Linked DNA regions of Caenorhabditis elegans. The protein of the gene in region 2 interacts with the protein of the main gene of each other region in a biochemical or structural test. Each region holds a gene or a part of one and is shown on either strand. Other genes may lie near its edges. The genes, in order: prom-1 and cye-1.

Evidence for each region.
Region 1: of the proteins of cye-1 (region 2) and prom-1, one has a biochemical effect on the other in vitro, tested with the Caenorhabditis elegans proteins (one study listed by BioGRID).

The regions. Positions count from the first base shown.
Region 1 is NC_003279.8:9,285,315-9,290,298, forward strand, and holds prom-1 (FBXO47 ARM repeats region domain-containing protein), read left to right. Parts: upstream 1-2,128; 5' UTR 2,129-2,132; coding exon 2,133-2,259; intron 2,260-2,307; coding exon 2,308-2,427; intron 2,428-2,472; coding exon 2,473-2,583; intron 2,584-2,626; coding exon 2,627-2,776; intron 2,777-2,822; coding exon 2,823-2,950; intron 2,951-2,996; coding exon 2,997-3,173; intron 3,174-3,229; coding exon 3,230-3,404; intron 3,405-3,447; coding exon 3,448-3,618; intron 3,619-3,667; coding exon 3,668-3,807; intron 3,808-3,859; coding exon 3,860-4,087; 3' UTR 4,088-4,456; downstream 4,457-4,984. Other genes in the region: rpoa-2 (DNA-directed RNA polymerase I subunit RPA2 homolog), read right to left, coding at 1-713, 876-1,019, 1,075-1,248; phac-1 (Phosphatase and actin regulator 2), read right to left, coding at 4,894-4,906, 4,974-4,984.
Region 2 is NC_003279.8:6,778,990-6,785,031, reverse strand, and holds cye-1 (G1/S-specific cyclin-E), read right to left. Parts: upstream 4,227-6,042; 5' UTR 4,212-4,226; coding exon 4,135-4,211; intron 4,046-4,134; coding exon 3,901-4,045; intron 3,230-3,900; exon of another isoform or gene 3,158-3,229; intron 3,042-3,157; coding exon 2,963-3,041; intron 2,920-2,962; coding exon 2,647-2,919; intron 2,513-2,646; coding exon 2,124-2,512; intron 1,865-2,123; coding exon 1,691-1,864; intron 1,650-1,690; coding exon 1,278-1,649; intron 1,218-1,277; coding exon 1,152-1,217; 3' UTR 636-1,151; downstream 1-635. Other genes in the region: acdh-5 (medium-chain acyl-CoA dehydrogenase), read right to left, coding at 106-124; pqn-21 (C2H2-type domain-containing protein), read left to right, coding at 5,126-5,264, 5,385-5,594, 6,021-6,042. UniProt on the Caenorhabditis elegans protein: Essential for the control of the cell cycle at the G1/S (start) transition. In association with cdk-2, regulates proliferation, quiescent state and cell fate during the development of several cell lineages.

The DNA.
Region 1 (4,984 bases), 2.5 Mb from region 2:
TGGAATTGTGGATTATCAGGTGTCTCTGGAGCACATTCTCCTTTCACAAGTGCAATGAGTTTCTGTGTCATGTACGCAAGAGTATGGAATTTCTCTTCATCACTATCCAAATGTATAAGTACACATTCCCGAATGATGAATCGACCAGCTTCAAGATCATCTTCCCATGGAGCAACTCTATCAGATACGGCTACTCTGAAACGAGAACCGATGGCTCTAATGGCGGCTTCTTGATTCAAAATTTCTTCTTCTTGACATTGAGCAAGCATATTGAGAATGCAAGATGAATAGAATTGATCTTGATTTCTTCCTCTTTTGAATCCAGCACTAATCACTGCATCATTCTTATCAGTTAAAGCCTTCACAATATACATCAACGGTACATAAAAGATTTCCCGTCTGAATTGAAGTGCTAACTGCATAGTTCCAGTGTCCAAATAATGAAGAGTCATCATTACAGCCGTATGATTTTCCTTAACACTTCTCATCATAACTCCAAATTCCGAGAACAATTTTCCTTTCTCTTTGAATGTTTTTCTGATAATTGCGATTGGAAAGTTTCTTCGATTCGCGATCAGCAATCTAATCACTTTTTCTGATCCATTTACAATGAAATATCCTCCTTTTTCGATTGGCTCTTCACCGGCAACTACAAGTTCCTTTCGAGACATTCCACGGAGATGGCAACCTTCGGATCGGAGCATAATTGGTACCTAAATATTTTGTTGTATAGTATTTTCTTTTTCTAATATTTGCTTGGAGAATTCAGAAAATGAAAATTTAACCTCGAAACAAGTATTTTATTTCTTAACTTTTAACTTTTTCGAAGGAAGGTGACCCAATTCTTACTTTCAACGCAGTATTTATAGAATTACCTTTCCCAAAATAATTTCAATAATGTCCAACCGGCTTCCGTTCACATGGACATCGATTCCAACTTTTAAATTTCCAGCATATGTCAGTCCACGTTGTCGACATTCCGCGGGAAGTAAAGGAAGAGTGTCACTGGTGAGCTTCGCCTGAAAATTGATTTTTAGAATTTTCAATATTTAAGATTGCAGATCAAATACTTACTCCGGTATCTAGCGTTGGCTTATGAAGTTGAGCCGACGTGAACTTCATTGTAACAGCATCGCCGTTTTTCAGACGGAATTTTTCTGCAGGAACAGCTTGGGCAGCAAATTGACATCCTTTTGAAACAAGAAAATCGAATGAATCGACATGATACGACGCTATGTCGCAGTCCATCGCCTGAAAACTTGAAAGTTTAAATGAATAATTTTTCGAACTAATACAAATGTTATAATAAAATGAAAACTACATATTCAAATGTATTTGATTATTAAATAAAAGATTTAGGGGTTGGCGAGCAGTAAAAATTAGAAATGGAAGAGAAGGAGCGACAGCCACTGTTCAGTTCGGCCACAATTCGAGGGGAAAAGAGAGGGAAAAGAAAAATGAAGAGTTAGATGAAAACTAGACGATAACAGCCTGAACTTGATTATTTCTCCAATGATAAAGGAATACGAAAACTTTCATGAAACAAACTCAAAATAAGTATTGGGACATATTATACGAAAAAATCGCGAAAACGCAAATATTGGTTATAAATACATTTATTATGAACTTGCAAATAAAATTTAATCAAACAAATCGATGAGAAAACCGCAGGAAGTTATCGGCCCACTAAACGAACGTATTATTCAGAAAATAACGGCGGATTTTAACAGCCATGAAGTTAAGGAAACGATTTTGAGTTTCTGCAGCAGTTTAATTTATAAGGAATAAAATTTAAATGAACAAGTGCTTCAAAATAATCGATTAAAAAAGAGGAAAGTGAAGAAAAGTTCGAAAAGAACCGAAAAATCGATCGAAGCCAAAGAACGAATTAAAGGCGCATTGCTTTTGTCATATGGGTCTCGCCACGACTTTTATGGGTACTGTAGTGGGGGTGTGTTCAAATTTCAAATCAATTCGAATTCCCGCCTAAATGCGAGTGACCTATATTTTGCCTCATTTTTTTTTGTTTTTTCTTGTTTTTTTAGTTTTTGATCATTTATGTGAAATATTTTTAATGTCAAGTTCTTTCTGGTCTATTACTTGATAATATCAAGCCATTTTCAGAATCCAAAATGGATAAATCAACACCCAGGCGGACTTACAATTTGCGGAGTGCTGATCGAACAACACAAAACAGTCCAGTTTCCAGACAAAGTCTAGAAAATCATCGCAATGCTTCAGTGTCTCTAAGAAAAAGAAGTAGTACTTCTTCACTTCAACGCATTCAATCAGAGTTTACATTTACAGATTCAGCCACAGAGGAACGATGTTCTCGTAAAAGACGAAGAACACAGCAAACACATGGATTACCTTTTTCATCGCCAGATGCTATTAATCATCAACGAGCATTTCATCTCGATGAGCACAGTAAAAAAATCACAAGTATTCTCCAACATACATTTTTAATTCCAGAAGTATGTTCAAAGCTTACTACAAGATTGTCGATTGAGGTGGAGACGTCGTATGGAAGTTTCGGTAAACTACCTTATGATGCCGTCATCCACATATTGACAAGAACACCATGTATGTGGTAAAATATATTTAACTTGTAGAATTAATTATTCAGACAATCTTCTAAGTCGCATGGTAATGACATCTTCCTGCTGGAATCAAACAATCGGAGCATATATGAGAAGTGGAGCTTTTCGTCGTCGCTGGCTGTTAGACATTGACATTGCGCCAAGTTCTAAACCATTGGATCCCTTCTTTGATATGGGTCAGTAACATCAACGATTTGTCTCAAACTTTCTTGTTAATTTCAGGAAAACTCGTGAGGTGCCTGACGATAAATTATGAATGGAAAGCGAGGCTAGATTGTCTGAAATCGTTTATGACACTGGCGTACGAGTCAGGTGCTCTGATTGCCGGACTTGGCAAGATGATTCATGCGGTACTATTCGTTATGCCTTGATTATTTTGAAAAATTAATTTATCAGTTCACAAATCGCCCAGACGAAGACATTGTATTGGAGCAAATTGATGACATCGTTGCCATGCTCTTGGCGCTAGTTAGTGGTCTGAAAGATGACTTGAGTGCTGTTCTTTTCACCCCCGAAACGGATCGAGAGCTGGAAGAATTAGATAATATGCCAATTCTTCGCGAAGAGATGAAGGTTTGTATCTAGGAGAACATACATATTTTCCAGTTTTAAATATTAAATATTTTCAGTTGCGGAAAAAGACATTGAATTTGTTCTTGAATAATGGATCGTCGGACCCAGCTCATGGTGTTAATAAATATTTCTTGAGCAGTTTGATGAAAGTTTTCAAAACAGCGCATAATGCACTTCCGACTGCACTTTTCTACCTTCTGTTTTCTCCGACCACAATCCAAGATGATGAAGGTTTGACATACAATTCAGTGAATAATAATTTTTGGAGTTTCAGAAGTGATTCACTGGCATCGATTGTCTTTGTTATCCGTGGTAACTTCCGAAGAAGCTGAAGAGTTAAAACCGTTATCAAGAGCAATGTGTGCTCTGATACAGTGCAGAAACTTAAAACACGTGTTGCCTTGGTCAAAGAATACAATTTTCAATTTGATGGAAGAAATTACGAGTAAATTGGACTTCAATTATAGAATATAAGCATAAATATTCATTTTCAGCATATCCAAATCCATGGTCGATGAGCACATTTGTTGCACTTAACGTCCTGGAACCGGAGCTTGTTCCCATTGGTGTTGTTGCACGAATGAATCGTAATCACGAAGATGAAGCGGGTGATATAATTTGCACTATGAAGATGGTAAGTAAATGATTTTCTATACAAAAGTATTGTAAATTTCGTGAAATTTTAGCTTCTACATCGATGGGATATGGATGTCTATGGAGTAATGGAATCTATAATTGATACGATAAAAGCAGTGCTCAAACCATACCAACGTCGTATTCTTTTTGATCGTTGTTGGGATTGGCATCAACGAAACATTGACGAGCATCGAAATCAAATGGGACACTTTTCCGACATACGCGCCGAAATTGAGAGTCAAATTGAAGTTATGCCGGTATTGATGAAACTACTGTAATTAGTGAGAAAATTATTATATCAGTATATACATATCTTGTGTCATTCTCATGTGTATTGCCTTTTCCCCCCATTTTGTTCCTCCTTTCTACGTGTGAATGTCCCCTCAAAACATTATAGATATATTAGAGCTAGAGAAATATATTCCATTTTCAGATATTTATGATTTCTTCCCCCTTTAATTAAAACATAATCTGTTGGAAACTAATAACCATAGATGGTTTTCAAGCCATTCGGCTTTAAACGTTTCCTCCTTTTTAATAATCAAATCATTTTTCCCTTGATATATCCCCTCCATAGTGCCATCACTGTCTCTAAAATCTTGTCAAATTAAATTATCATGTGCCAAAAAAAGATTTTCTTCCATTTTACGGACGTTTGTTGATTTAAGAAGCATTACAATCAGAAGCGTTTAGTATGGTACAAAAAACGAATTCTCGATAGATTAATAGCAATAGAAGACTTGGGTCAACCGGCTAGAAACTGGTAAGTGATCTATGTGTGTTTTCACATGATTTTGAGAAAATCAATTTCAAAATGGGGTGTTGGGGGGATTGAACTGAAATATTTTCAGAGAATTATCGAGATTAGAGCAAGACAAACAAAATATATATAAATCCCAGAGAATTTCGAATGAGGGGAAGGGAGAGAGATTTTTTTTGATACTTTTCAATAGTATTAATTATTTAAACAAGAAATTAGGGGAAAATTGAAGAAAGAAGAATGGGAAAAGAAAATGAAAGAAAATATGTGTCCCGAATGAAGTGTAGTATTTGTGCATGTAAATTTACTAATTTCAATCGTGTATCACCGGTGGAATCTGAAAGTTTCAAATTTACACTATTATTTTATCAAGAAAATTTAAAAATATGAAATTTTCTACAAACCTTGTGAACAC
Region 2 (6,042 bases):
GTGCATAGTTCCCTATTTACGCATTTTCATCAATTGATTGAATAGACATAGAGCTTTCGATATCAGAATAAATTCCACCAAAACCAGAAATTCACTCAAACTTACTTAACAAAGCTTGAAACATCACGGCAAGAAACTACGAAGATGAGTAGTGTTTTAGCCAAGAAACTAAATAATGATTCATTTTTTGATAAGAAACCCTGAACAAATTTTAACAAAAAAAGAAGATTAAACATTAATTAGAAATTCACGCAAACTTTTTTTTGATAAATTTTATGCTCTTTGGAATTTCATTTACAGTGTCTACAACTCTGCAATACACCTACAGTACCCCTACCGTACCACTTAATATAAATAAGCCAAAATCTTAAAGTAATTCTACAGTATTCCTGAGATGATAATTCATTTTAATTTATTGGAATATATTAATTTTTCATCAAATAAGTAAAAAAAAATATTGGAATGATGTCCTTAATTTTTTGCGGAGTAATTTCTGCTTTTTTTCCGAAAATTTTTCAGTGTTAAGAAATTTGGAGAAGGCATTTTGTTTCAACTCACGTAAATACTGTGCTTTTATAGTTTCTTAATTTTAAAATTTGAATGATCGTATTGTTGAAGCTAACAGAAACCCGCATACTCGTTAAAAATTGTATTTCGTATAAACAAACAGACAAAGACGAGTTGGGAGCGGGGTGGGGCAGAGGATATGTACCAGTTACAGTACCTGTTAAAAAAGTTTAGGGAGAAAGAAGCCTATTTCAAAATTTCCAGTTTTATGATACAATAAAAAAACCTAAAACATAAAATAAGCACAAAGTAAGAAGGGGAAGTGAGATGAGTAAAACAAAACATTAATAAGTTAATTGTAAAAGGGGTTTAAACACATTACAAAAACATCAAAATTCGGTAAAATAAAACGGAAATGCATCTTTCGATTTTCGGAATTTGAATATTTTTGTAATATGGGATCACTTGTTAAGTGAAGTTTTTGATATTTTCCGGGGTGCAATCATATTGAAATGGCACAGACTAGGTGAAAGAGAGAAAGAGATTGAAGGAAAGAATTAACGGGGACAACCTGTGTGCATGATTATTTGAAGTAAGTAATCTACAGAAATTTCGATGATAAAAGAATCCTATTGCGGGTTATTTTAGAAAAGTCGTTGCGGATGAAGACGGCGAGCTTTTAAATGCTGAATCCTCTCTCGTTCGCTTTTCTGGAAAAATAAAAATTATGAAAACAACCTCTAATTCATGAATTTTATATATCCACCTACCACAATAGGTTCCATTGAACTCCTTTTAACGTATACTTGAATATTGTGTGAATCATCCGATTTTATTGATTCATGTTTTGGAATAACATCGTCAAGAAGTTGTCGTTGTTTGGCGAACGCCCGGCACACCGGTTCAACATATTCAATAACTTTTTCAAGTTGAGCCTGCATAAATCCGGTAGCCTTCTCAACAGCACAAGTTGGCTCATAGTTGACAAAAAGAACAGCAGCAGCGATGGTACGATAGGAGAAAGTAAATGAGTCGATCTCAAATAGCAGAAAATCGAGAATTTTACACATTTCAAGATATTCTGAACGGAGTAATTCTGGCACGTACATGTTTTGCTCTTCGTAGTGATCAGACTTGTTCTTCTGAAAAAATATTTTAATCAACAAAAAATTTAAAATCCTACTTTGCCGGTTCCGAGTAATTGAAGATATGTTGAGAGCCATTGAATACTTGTGATTGGCCCAAGACTCCACCCAATATACTTGACGATAAGAACTTCCATAGTTCGAATATTATCACAGGTGAATGCACTATCGGTGAGATGAGCAAAATCGATGCACTTAGGTGGATAAATTTCCTGAAAAAAAAAACAAAAATTAATGTGAATCTATACTGTGAAAAAATTAATTGAACCCAAATTCTAGATCGGTGAAATATTTTATTAAAATTATTACCAGGCTTGCCGGTTTTTTTGGATTTTTGAAAAAGGGTGTAAATCGTAATATAAATATTTAATTCCGTTTGAGAACTATCGATTTTGAAGTGTTTTAGAATTTTTTTCGGTTTTGCTAAAAAAAAAAAACGAAAAATGTGTCAGTGAAACCCCTGATTGTTACCTCGTATTTAGCAGCTATAAATAGAGCAGCCGTCCCGACCAATTGAAAATTATCCGTTGAACATTCAACATTTGATGACTCTAAATATCTATCAACATAATCAACAGCCAAATGAAATGTTTCTCGGTGCAATTTTTCTGATTCACACACTTCCATCATCCAATCAATTAAAATACGTCGCTTTTCATCATCCATATCCGGATGATTTCCAAGCAAGAATCGTGTAGCACGTGGAATTTCGTCTCGTTTGACCATAAGAGACCAAACTTTTGTTGGTGATCCTATTCCATCGCATTTTGCTGTGCTGAGAAACGTTGGAGCCGTAACCATATGTTCGTCGTTCATGAGCCGTTTTGTAACGGCAAATCCTTCGTTTTGGACAGGATAATCTAAATTGTATCAAAATTGGGTAGGTTTTTCAGCTTGAAACACTGATACTCTCTTTGGAGACACTATTTTTTATCAAATTTTGATCTAAAATGCTAATAATTTCAAACGCATCATGAGTATTTTTGAAACTAACCATCTTCATCTTCAGATTCAATTTCTTCGTACTCCTCTTTATCGTTAACAACATCCTCCTCTTCATCATCAAAATCATCCTCAATTTCTTCTTCAATATCCTGTCTCTCTTCCAATCGGACCATCTCATGACTTTCTTCAGATTCGGCAAGATTATCAGATGAAGATGATTTATCAAACACTTCTTCTTCCTCAGGCATAGCTGGAAGTGGTTGTCCACGGGTTCTTGATGATTGTGATGATGAAGATCCAACTTCACGATCATCTGAATATTCTTCAAACAGAATATCATTTTTACTCTAATAAAACTAGATTACCACTAATATACTCCAAAGAATCTTCGCGGCTACCATTTCGATGCTTCTCGCCCGAATGACGTTTTGCAGCTGGACCTTCCTGTAAAATTAATAAATTATCAAACAAGATTGAACCACTATATAATTTTGTTCAAATTTAGGAAACTTATTTGATCGTCATGATTCTAAGCAGAAGCCAAAATGCAAAAAGTATTTAGGGGGCACCCGGAGTTGAACCAGGGACCTCTCGATCTGCAGTCGAATGCTCTGCCACTGAGCTATACCCCCAGATGAACAGTGAGACTCAGACGGCAAACAAGTATTGGACATACAAAGCGGACACAAAACTGTGTTCTGCATACGAAAGAGACTGGTCACTATGACTATCGATGTCTGCGTCTTATTTTCTCGCAAATCTGAGGTGCTGGTGTGAACATGAGATGAGAGAAGAAAAAAGAAAACGGGAGAATGAGTACATTTTGGCGCACTATTACACTGGTCAAATACAAAGTGTCTGTTTCTCAGTGCAAACTTTGTTTGCAAATTATTTAACGAGAGATGTTTCCTGTAGAACCCAGACTACTCAATATTGAGCGTTTGACTGTTAGTTAGTTACCCACGAAATTCAATTAATTTGTTAGACATTGTGTTTCTGGATGAATGCTGTTACCTAAATAAGTTAAATTCAAAACTGAAAATATAGCAAAATGTGTTTAAATCTAGAAATATTTGCTAATTTTGTTGGCAAATTAAAATGTATTCCTTACCCCCATTCAGCTTAGTAACAATCCGCAATCGTTTGACAGTTTTTCTTACGGTTTTCGAAAAATTAGAAGCAAAAATCTCTTTAGGCATTTGTACAAGTAGTAATATTATAATTTAAAAAAGTACTTTTCTTATCACTCTCTATTTCATTTCCCTTGTTCCATCTTAAAATGTTCACTGATAAGCACACAAACCTTAGTACTTCGTCGTTTTCTTGTCTCAGAACAATCTGATTTCTGACTTCCAACGCTCGAATTTCGGGTATTTCGTTGTGGAATATTTTCCTTCATATCAATTGCAGTCTCCAGAAGACGTTCACGCAGTTCGTCATGTGGAGATCTGAAAATTAAAATTTTTCGAAAGATGAATAAATATTTATAAAGTCTAAAAATTATCAGTTCTCTAATATCCATCTAAATTCAACTTACAAAATAGCAGATTTTCTTTCTGGCTTTTGTGTAGTGGGGACACGTTCAGCCGTCCTTGATGACTTTCTTCCAGCCATTTTGATCAAATTTCCCTGAAAATATCAAGTCGAGCTATTCAAAATATTCAAAAACAAATAAATAGGAAGATAACGACTGAAACTGGCTCAAATAACAAATGTTGTGCAGTTTTGAGTGTACACAATAGGGAGAACATAAACTATCAGTCAGAGGTGAAGAAGAATAAGATTTTAAATTCATAAAATCAGATAAGATTTGGTACAAGTGAATGAAGGTCGTTTTGGTTTTAGATTTAGATTTGCAGTTATTCCATTAAAAATTATTTAAGATTTGAATTAGGTGTGAATTTAAAATATAAACTGAGCTCATGAAACTGTTCATGTTTGCACGATACTTTCTATGCTTGAAATTTAGAGATTGATATCTGATATTTAATGAAAATTAATAAAGAAATATCAATTATACCATAACGAATGTCTAGTGGACATTACGCAATCAATCTGTGAAAGTTCAGATAAAACCGAAAAAGGTCAACTACAGACAACCTCCGTCATATGGTCTCTAGATTCAAATCGCGCGCTCATTTCGCGCGTTCCCTCCGATTTGCCGCCGTCCTCCCTGATGGTCTTACCACGATCTCATGTTTCTCTGCCGTCTCCAGAGAGATGAGAGGGTGCCTCTTGACACAGAGACGCAGGCAATCGACACGTACCAATAGAGGGCACAGCAACTGCCTCCGGAGATGTCAGACAATTGAGAGAATGAAGAAAAAACATCCGAAACACATCTTGCAGTTGTTTTTGTTTTGTTTTCATAAGCTACCAAATAAGGATAACGTTTTTCAAGTATCAAAACCTTCAAAACTATATCTATTATTTTTAAAATTTCTCTCATTTCAAATTGTATTTTAAAAATTTGATTATTGCTTTAATTAAATCTTTTGTAAAATTTTAATTTTCAAATTTTCAGCAACATGTCAGACGATGAGGACGAGGGTCGTCTACAGATCGATGAAAGTCCGTCCGATTCGGAAGACAAACCATCGATTTCAGCGCCCCCACCTCTTCCTCCACCGTTGCAGGAAACCCCCGAATTTCAAACAACTTATGACGGTACGTTATTTGTTTCAATGATTAACAAAAACTTCTAAATAATTTTTTGAAATTTCGTTTGAAATTTTTTTTAAGAAAAAAAAAATATTTCTCGTAAATCTTGAAAATTATTGCATTTAGCTCACGATCAAGCGGAAACTTCTGGAAAAGAAGACGGCGAGTTAGATGAGGATGATGAGAATGATGATATTGAACCAATGGAAATTGATGAAGAAATACAACTAGAAATTGATGAAAAACCAGAAGATCTTGTCAAAGACGAACAAATATCCGAGCCTACTGATAAAATGCGAGAAGAATTTTTAAAAGTGGAAAAAACAGATGAAAATGGTATGAAAATGGTAAACGGAAAAGCAATGAATAAGAATGAAAGATTGCGAAAAAAAAGCAATTTATTTCAAACAAAAATTTTTGGGATCAGTGTGAACACCGCCACGCGTAAATGCACGAAAGTCGCATCTACCGTAGCTGCTCAAATAATTTCAAAACTTTCGAGAGATCCTCTAGGGAAATGGAAATTCAGGCTATTAAAAACAAAATAGATAAGCGAAGGCACTAAAAATTAAAAATTAACAATTAAATTGCTTAGATAGTCTACTGCAAATAGCTCTCTTCATTAACATTTAAAAAAAAATTATGAGCGCAATATAAGAAGAATGTTCGAAATTTTAACAGAGAGTCCAAGAAAAGTAAATATACTCATAAAAACTTGATAAAAAATATTTATTGAAGAAAAAACACGGTTTATTTTTCCAGCTGTCGTTGAGTCAACATCATC